2 linked regions of the Canis lupus familiaris genome follow. The protein of the gene in region 2 purifies or fractionates together with the protein of the main gene of each other region. This does not show direct contact. Links are inferred from orthologs where the notes say so. Each region holds a gene or a part of one and is shown on either strand. Other genes may lie near its edges. The genes, in order: DNAJC19 and PAM16.

What was found.
Region 1: the proteins of PAM16 (region 2) and DNAJC19 purify together in Homo sapiens (affinity purification with mass spectrometry; 3 studies listed by BioGRID and IntAct, with this or other methods). This does not show direct contact. The link is inferred for Canis lupus familiaris from reciprocal best matches to the Homo sapiens genes PAM16 and DNAJC19.

Annotation. Positions count from the first base shown.
Region 1 is NC_049255.1:14,375,046-14,379,621, forward strand, and holds the start of DNAJC19 (mitochondrial import inner membrane translocase subunit TIM14), read right to left. Parts: upstream 3,096-4,576; coding exon 3,093-3,095; coding exon of another isoform or gene 2,923-3,092; exon of another isoform or gene 2,303-2,922; coding exon 2,251-2,302; exon of another isoform or gene 2,169-2,250; coding exon 2,095-2,168; exon of another isoform or gene 1,506-2,094; intron 768-1,505; coding exon 688-767; intron 1-687. Other genes in the region: uncharacterized protein LOC119867493, read left to right, coding at 2,923-3,462. UniProt on the Homo sapiens protein: Mitochondrial co-chaperone which forms a complex with prohibitins to regulate cardiolipin remodeling.
Region 2 is NC_049227.1:37,332,098-37,336,469, reverse strand, and holds the start of PAM16 (mitochondrial import inner membrane translocase subunit TIM16), read right to left. Parts: upstream 2,965-4,372; 5' UTR 2,811-2,964; coding exon 2,808-2,810; intron 2,416-2,807; exon of another isoform or gene 1,989-2,415; intron 1-1,988. UniProt on the Homo sapiens protein: Regulates ATP-dependent protein translocation into the mitochondrial matrix. Inhibits DNAJC19 stimulation of HSPA9/Mortalin ATPase activity.

The sequences.
Region 1 (4,576 bases), on a different chromosome or scaffold from region 2:
CTAACATACACGGATGATGAATATTCTGAATCACAGAACTAAATAGCTCCTTAGGAAAATAATGCATTCTTATAATTAGTTGAGGGGCACCTGGATGGCTTAGTTGGTTAAATGTCTGCCTTTGATTTGGTTCAAGTCATGATCTTGGGGTTAGGCTGGGATCCAGCCCTGCATTGGGCTCTGAACTCAGCACAGTGTCTGCTTGTCTCTCTCCCTCTGCTTCTCCCCCAACTCGTGCTCTCTCTCAAATAAAATCTTAAAATTATTTGAACTTTCTAATCATTATATAAGTCCTTTTATTGAAAGGGAAAGCATGTTGTATCTGAAAATGAAGGCAGAATTTCACTACAAAAAATGTTATAGGGCAGCCCTGGTGGCCCAGTGGTTTGGCACTGCCTTCAGCCCAGGGTGTGATCCTGGGGACCTGGGATTGAGCCCTCTGCCGGTGTCCCTGCCTCTCTGTGTCAGTCATGAATAAATAAAATCTTAAAAAAAATGTTATAAAGAACAATAATCTTTCAGTGAATTAAAAAGTCCTTATGTGCTAGTGTGCCTTCTCACTGGACTTTTACAGGGAGTGTTTAGATATTACAATGTATGTAACCCTATTATAACTCTTAGTAAAAGGATATTTGCTCATATTCTCAGAGTTGTAGAAAAATATTACAAATATTAGAAATTATTTACCTTACGCCTAGTATTAGTGCTGCTTCTCTTTTTGTCATTTTGGGTTCAAATCCACCTCTATAATAGCCACCACTGAAGGCCTGAGAGAGGAAATGCATTCATAAAAATAGATAATAAACTGAAAGTTGCTAAAAAATGTTGAAAATGTTCACAGCAGAAAAATTAAGACAATTCAGAGAACTTTAAAACTACTACAGCATTTTAGCTTTATAGGAAGCAACCAGTATTTTAATGATATTAAACATCAATTTTTTCCTCCAGAAAAATTCTAAAAAATGTAAGACAGAAGAGGTGCCTCATAGCCAGTTCTTCTGGGAATAAAGGGAAGCTTATTCCAAGTTAGCTGTGTTACAGGTGAAAATTTGACCTTAAGAATATGATTATGTGTTAGAAAAACAAGGGCTGGGATCCCTGGGTGGCGCAGCGGTTTGGCGCCTGCCATTGGCCCAGGGCGCGATCCTGGAGACCCAGGATCGAGTCCCACGTCGGGCTTCCGGTGCATGGAGCCTGCTTCTCCCTCTGCCTATGTCTCTGCCTCTCTCTCTTTCTCTCTCGGTGACTATCATAAATAAATAAAAATTAAAAAAAAAAAAAAAGAAAAACAAGGGCTTCAAGAAAAGGATTTGGAGATCTTTTATGATGAGTGGTTCAAGGGTATTCTGAGAGTCAAGGTAACTACTAAAACAAGACTTTTAAGGTATGTATGGAGGGACGCCAGGGTGGCTCAGGGGTTGAGCCTCTGCCTTCGGCCCAGGGTATGATTCAAGGGTCCTGGGATGGAGTCCCACATGGGGCTCCCTGAGAGGATCCTGCTTCTCCCTTTGCCTGTGTCTCTGCCTCTCTCTGTGTCTCTCATGAATAAGTAAAATCTTAAAAAAAAAAAAAAAAGATATCTATTGAGAAAACCAGGCTACCAGATCATATGAGTAAAGCCTACCATCAATCACCATATTGTCACATTCAATTACAGCAATAAAAATACTAACAAGCTGTCACAGCCAAACATCACATCCAGTCATACTCTTTAGCCTACTTCACTCTGGTGCTACCCAAGTATCTTGGGGAGTGCCAGGGCCACACAACACAGGATCCCTAGACACTGCAGATCCTTAGATCCCTGTGTTGGTCATGCAGAGCAAATGAGGGAAGGCAAGAATCTGGACAAATGGTACTGAAGTTCTCTAAACAATAGTGATTATTAACTTTCACGATACTAGAATTTCAATACCTTAGCCACAATTCTGTCACAAGCCTCAGAACTTCTAAACCCTGTTTGTGGGAGACAAGAGAAGGGGCCCAAAGCACTAAGAACCTCATGGATGTTTGGAAATTTACCCTCTCCAAGTGTGACTCTAAGCTTCCTACATAGGCAGCAAAGAATTAGCAAAAATGTTTAGCATGTCTTACAGATTTTGGTAGACTCTGAAAAACTTGTTTTACTTGAGGTTCCACATGTTTCATGGCTTGCAAAACATAACGGCCTACAAACAAAAGCAACAGAATAATTAAAAAAATCTCCAACCTCCCCTACACTTCACTTCGACTCCCAAACCATAAACAAACCTGCAAATCCCGCAGCAGCAATGGTCAGTCCAACAGCTACCACGGTACTGGCCTGGTAAGGGGAAGCAGAGTGAATCATTTACTTCTGGAATTCTCACCTTTCCCTATGCGTACCTATCGTCCCATCCTAAACTCATTACAAGTTTTACTTCAAAGGGGAAAACAACTTTGAGGAAGAAAATCGCCTGCCCATGATCTCTCAGGAGGACTGCAGCTTTTTGACTCTAATTCATTGTAAAGCTGTGGGATTTTCAACTGTGAAAGGGAAGGGCGAGTGGATTTGCTTATTTACTTTTACGACAGTGGAACTGAACACCTCTCATCTCTGGGCAAACGAAACCACACTGATGTTCAATCAAGAACGAAGGAAGTAACATTTCTGCTGGAGAAAGCACGATGTGAGGTCCCCGCAGAATTCGGACAACACGCTTCCACGTCAAAACGTGGGCCGAAGCGCCTTCCACCCTGTGGCGTCTCCCGGTCCCCGCGCAGAATCCCCCATGTGTTCTGGGCCCGAGAAGAGACGCGTCGGCCGGAGTCCAGGGGAAGGACACACTAAGGAAGGTCGCGAGGCTGCACCGGGCGAAGAGCAGCGACAATCAAACGCGTTTCCACTAATCTCGGAGCCTCGGGGCCGATGGGCCAGAGACCGGAGCCCCTGGCGGAAGGGCCATGGAAGACCATAAAGGCCCTAGAGGGGTTGTGTCCCAGAAGGTGTGGCTGTCCGGGGCCCTACGTCTCCAGCCTAGAGTCGCAAGGGGGAAGAAAACCTCGGCTCTTTTCCTCCGAGGTCGCGAGGCCTGGGCCCGAGACGGCTCGGGAGACCGGCAGGCCGCACTCACCATGGCTCCGGCTCGGCTCCGCGGCCTCCACCGAGAGCGCGGCTCATCCCAGCCCAAAGGCCGCAGCCAGCTCGCACGCTTCTACCCGACGGCCAAGCGGCCCCCGCCGGCGGCGGACGCAAACCGCCCCGCCAGCGGCGCGTCAGGAAACACGGCAGCCGGGCGGCCAACGGGCCGGAAAACTGTCGTAAACGGGGCCCGCGGAGGGCCAGAGGGGAAAGGTCGCTGGAGCAGTGGGCAGGTGCAGAAGGCACCTGGAGATTGGCTGGCGGCGGGCGGGCCGCCTCCTTCCTCGGGCTCGGAGCTGGGGCTTCTCCGTTTTGCCCTTGGCTACCAGGCGGAAGGTATTTGGAAACTCCTGTCGGGGAAGGTATTGATGCCGAAGGGCGACGACGACTACCGAGTAGCCTCACTCAGAACGCTCCCCCACCCCCCTTTGCAGCACGTGCATTCGCCTTTCATTTTGTTTTTAATTGTCAAGGGTAATGAACATCCTCAAATATGCCGTGACAGTTCCACCTCGAAGCCAAATAAATATGTGGCAAGCCGGGATAGCAAACGAGAATATGTCCCCCCGCCCCAAAACCAAAACAACAAACCACATTGTGTTTCAGGGCTGCTCAGTAGCGTTTTCTTATTTAAAAAGGATTTTTAATTTGTGACTTGACCTCGTGTAAATAAATATCTGGGGTTTTGTTTTGTAGAACGGAAATGTTCACTTCAGAGACAGTTAATATTCTGAACACGGGGTCCCCAAATCCGCACAACCGAAAAGGGCTATTTCAAATTTCTCTCCCTTTCCTCGAAAACTAGCATCAGTCTCATAGATCCCCTAAGTAATAATCAATGCTTGAGAAGAGGAAAGAAAGGAAGTTTTACAGTGTTTGGATGATCAAGTAAATTTGGAGTTACTTTCCAGTTAGAACTTACTGAAGTATTAGAAATCAGTTTACGTAGCAATGAAATTCTGCTTCGATGAATTGGTTGCATGTTAGAGATGTATGCAAATTTGTTGGTCTTGTTTTCCCCATCTTTAAAAAGGTTCTGCATTTGGATCTTTAAGAATTCTTCTAGCCCTGCGATTTTTGTGATGTAATCTATTGTCAACCAATAAATGTATTCTGTAAAGAATTACGTGTCACATAAAGATTCTTTTATTCTGTATATTTTTTGGTATATACAAACTACACCATACAGCTTGCTTGAGGAGCAGGTTAACATGAGGTAGCCCAGCCTCAGGAAGCCAAGGATAAGTAACACAGAGACACTTGAAGTGGACAGGGCTCTTGTTTTTGGAGGCAAATCAAAATAGATGTACAACCCAGTTCTGTCACTAGTTGTATGACTTTGGATAAGTTGTTTCTGAGTCTTCTCATTTGTAAAACAAGGGTAATGATGACTACCTCACCAAATTTTTGTGAGGGTAAAGAATTATGTACATAATATGCTCTGCATGTAATTATCACTTAATGTGTTGGCCATTA
Region 2 (4,372 bases):
CCCAGCTGCATGCCCTGCACAAGCTCTTATGTTCCCTCGGCCTGTTTCCTCACCTGTGAAATGTGGTCAAAAACAGCACTGTCAGATGGATGTGATGAGACAATGTAAAGTGCCTGACACAGAGTCTGATGATACAGTAGCTACTCAATAAATGTCGCTTTACATTTATTACACTGATTTCACAAAACCGGACAATGGTCAGATACTATGGAGTAGCAAAGCCTTTCCCAATAAGGCAACTCATTTGATATAGCCACTGATTCCTCAGGGGAGAAGGCTGCAAAAAGCCAGGCTCCGTGCCAAGAGCACTGAGAAGCAGTGTGGAAGAGGAGGGAGAGGACTGCTTTGGAGCTTAAACCTGGACTCCCAGCTTGTCTTCGCTAGCTGTGTGGCCCTGCATAAATTACTCAACCTCTCTGAACCTGTTTTCTTATCTGCAAAACGGAGAGAATCATACCTTCCTTACAGGAAGGCTGCAAGGTCCTCAGAAGGCAATCCACATAAACCCAACCAGTCAGTGGCAGGTTCAAAGCAGCCCAACAGCTGCCTTTGCTTCTGGACTAGACCCTGCTTGGTGCTGGACGGTCCAGACATCAGGCAGTATGGCCAAGCTTCTCATCCATCTATTCAGTACCCAGTGCCAGCTGTGGGTCAGCCAGATCATTGTTCTGCCAGTTACAAGAGGAGATGATGGCAGCCACTGGCTGAGGTCTCTCCTAGAAAGTCCCCAAACATCCCATAGTCCACTGACTGACACTTGGGCCTGAAGACCCTGGACAAGAACAGTCAGCTGACATGGCATCCAACTCAGGGCAAGCTGCCAGTCGAGGAGCAGAGGTCAGAGACACAGGTCGCCGAGCCTGGGAGCCACTGTGGATGACACATCTGCTTTCTCATCTGAGGAACGACATAGCCCAATGCAGAACCACACCTCTGCAGCTGGGACAGAAGACCACAGGCAAGCGTTGGGGGACACGGAGGAATGTGGCGCATCTCAGGTGAGGTGCATTACGAAGGGAACCTGGTTTTCAGACAGCTCAGATGTGCAATGTTCCCTTCAAAGCTTAGTTCTCAGCCCCTGGGCTGCTGGGCAGACACTGCCACTGAGACTCACCCCCTTCTTGAGGATGTTCACCCCAAAGCCCCTGCAAACAGCTGCTGGCATCACGACTAGGCGGGAGGGCAGTCAGGACCACAGTAAACCTGGCGCCCCCGCCTATGGCTGGCATGGCAGCCCAATCGATCGTATTTGAATGAATGTGACACTTAACCAGGCCATCATCAGCAAAACTATGTCCCCAGACAGGGTTTCCAAATGCCTACCGCTCCCTCTGCTGGAGGACTCAGGCCATCCTCCAATACACACAACTCCGCGGCCAGGGCCTGCAAATTCAGCCCACTTCTCAGCTGGGCAATCTCACCTTGGACAGCTACAACGGCTCTGGTTTTCTCTCCCCTCACCTCTCGGCCCTGCAGCCACACCATCTACTTCTAGATCAGCTCTTACTTCTTTTACCCCCATGTCTCCCAACACACACACACCATACAAGTCACTCAAGTATTCAGTGATTTTAGGGTATTCACATACCTCTGTAAACACACTAAAAAGTACAGAATATTACTAGTCCTGGAACATTTTCATCACCCCCCCAAAAAAAACCCCCAATACCCATTAACCTTGACTACATCGTCCCTACTACTCTGATACTCCATCAAAACCCAACATCCTTCAAGACTTAACAGGAGGGATGCCTGGGTGGCTGCCTTTGGCCCAGGGCGTGACCCCAGGGTCCTGAGATCGAGTTCCACATTGGGCTCCCTGCATGGAGCCTGCTTCTCCCGCTGCCTGTGTGTCTGCCTCTCTTTGCGTCGCTCATGAATAAATAAAATCTTAAAAAAAAAAAAAAAGACAACACAATACTCCCATATTCCCTCTAAGCCAAACCTTCCCAGAGCACTATCTGTTCTGTCCTATTTTACAGACTTGCCTGATTCCTCCTTTAGGATACAGACTGGTCCAGAGCAACATTTTACGTGGCTCTTGAGGGGGGCTCAGAGTTACAGGCAGGAATGCGTGAGCAGGCCGCGGTCCAAGGGTTGGGCATGACCCGGCTCAACACCTGCCTCTGGCACGGCTGGATGAAACGACCCTGGAGGAATCCAACTCTGAGATTCAGGCTCCTACTCTGTGAAATGGGGACCATGGCCCTATGCATTTCACAAGCATTAAATGAGAGAATCCACGTGAGGCTTCCAGTGCAAGGGCCTGGGGGCCTTGCAAGCTCTTGTGTTATCCTTCTTATTGGTTAATAAGGGGCTCCCCAAACCGGCTGCCTCCGAGGACAGAGCTCAGGATGCTGCGTGTTTAAAGGGTCCCCAGGGGACTCGTCTCCGCCAGCGTGGCCCGGGTCTGCGGACTGGCTGCGGGTGCCACAGGAAACGCGGAGACGCTCAGCTTTCGGGGTCGCGGGGCCCGCTCGAGTCCCAGGCCAGCCACTTCCTTGGCAAAGTCTCGGCGCCCGTTTCGTCCGTTTCCAAAGGGCGACACCGCCAACGGGCCGCGCGGCCGCGCAGGGCTCCCGGGCTGGACCCGACCTCCGGCGCGGCAGGGGGCACGCGGCGGCCGCCTGTGCTGGGCATTTTCCGGCCAGCCAGGCCCGCGCCGCCTTCTGGGCGAGAGGCCTCCGTGGCCCCGGGCCGCCGGCCCCCGCCGCGGTCCTCCCGGTGCGACGCTCCCCGGCCCCGGCCCCGGCCCCGGCCCCAGCCCGGCCTCCCTCACCGCCCGGCAGCGCCCGCTCGTGCCTCACCATGCTGGCCGCTCCGCCTCAGGGTTGCGGGCTCCGGCTTCCTGGCCCCGCGGCCCCAGCTCAAAGGCGGCCGGCAGGTCAGAGGTCAAGGGAGAGAGAGCGCGTGCGTGACGCCGCGCTGGGCATGCGCGTTGCTCCCTCCGGGGGGCGGGACGGGACCCGTGACGTCACGGCGGTAGGCGGAGCCGCGCTCAGGTGATGGGCGGTCCTAGGACCCGCGGTGGCCCTCGCGTTCGCCCTGCTGCGCGACGTGCCCCAGGATAGACACATCTGTCAAATGAGGGGCAAGCAACCTCTTCCCTGGATTTTGCCAAGATATTTGGTACTAAAGGACATGAAGTAAACATACAACACCCCACGAAGAGGAGGATGCCAAAGGCTCACAAATATGTAAGAAAACAGGAAACCTGGGATCCCTGGGTGGCGCAGCGGTTTGGCACCTGCCTTTGGCCCAGGGCGCGATCCTGGAGACCCGGGATCGAATCCCACGTCGGGCTCCCGGTGCATGGAGCCTGCTTCTCCCTCTGCCTGTGTCTCTGCCTCTCTCTCTCTCTCTCTGTGTGACTATCATAAATAAATAAAAATTAAAAAAAAAGAAAACAGGAAACCTCAAAACGGGCTTCCTTCTAGTTTCCTTCTATCTGGGAAAGAGATCTCTCTCTCTCCCCCTTCAAGTGCTTGCTCGATGTCACCTTCCCAAGGAGGCCTACCCCAACCTGCTACCAATGCTGCAACTTGCCCCGCATTCTTTTGTGCTTTAGTAACCCTTTGGGATAAAGTTCACACACCATCCGGTTCACTAAAGTGCATAATTCAGTCAGCGCTTCTTAGTGTATCCACAGAGTTGTGCAACCATCACCACCAGAACACCAGAACATTTTCATCACCACCCCCCAAACTCCCTTCGCATCAGCACTGGCCACCGCCCCCCCAGGCCCTGACCACTAAGCTTGGGCCCGTCTATGGTTTGTCCCCTGTGAACAGCTCTTGGAAGTGGAATCATCCTGTCTGTGGCTTCTGTGTCTGGCTCTCAGTCCCCTCTATTTTTACCCCCAAAGTTCTTACTCATCGCCTTCTGCCATATTATAGAATTCATTTATTTTATGTGCGCTGCTTATAATCTGTTCTTTCCCCCAGAAGGTGGATCCCTGGTGGGCAGGACTTTCCTCTTTTCTCCACTCTTGGATGGGTGGCCGGCACGTGGGAGGCACTCAGCACACCATCACTGAATGAACATAAATTGGGCTGCCCTGGATTGTTTTGGACCACCGCCCTCTCCTCCAACTCTCCAAATTTTCTTCCCTCAGTGCAGTGGCTGCTCTTCCTTTTATCTGAAGTGTTCTCTCAGCTCTGTGGCTCAGTTGCCTTCAGGTCTTGCCTCTCTTGACTTTGCACACCCTGCTCTCCCTGCATCTCCGCAGCTCCCTTTCACATAATTTTTTTGTGTGTGTGAATTAAGCAATCTCTATGCCCAACTCACTACCCTGAGGTCAAGAGTTGCACGCTCTACCAACTGAACCAGCCAGGTGCCCCTATTTTGTCTTCCTTACAGGTCTCCTTACAGT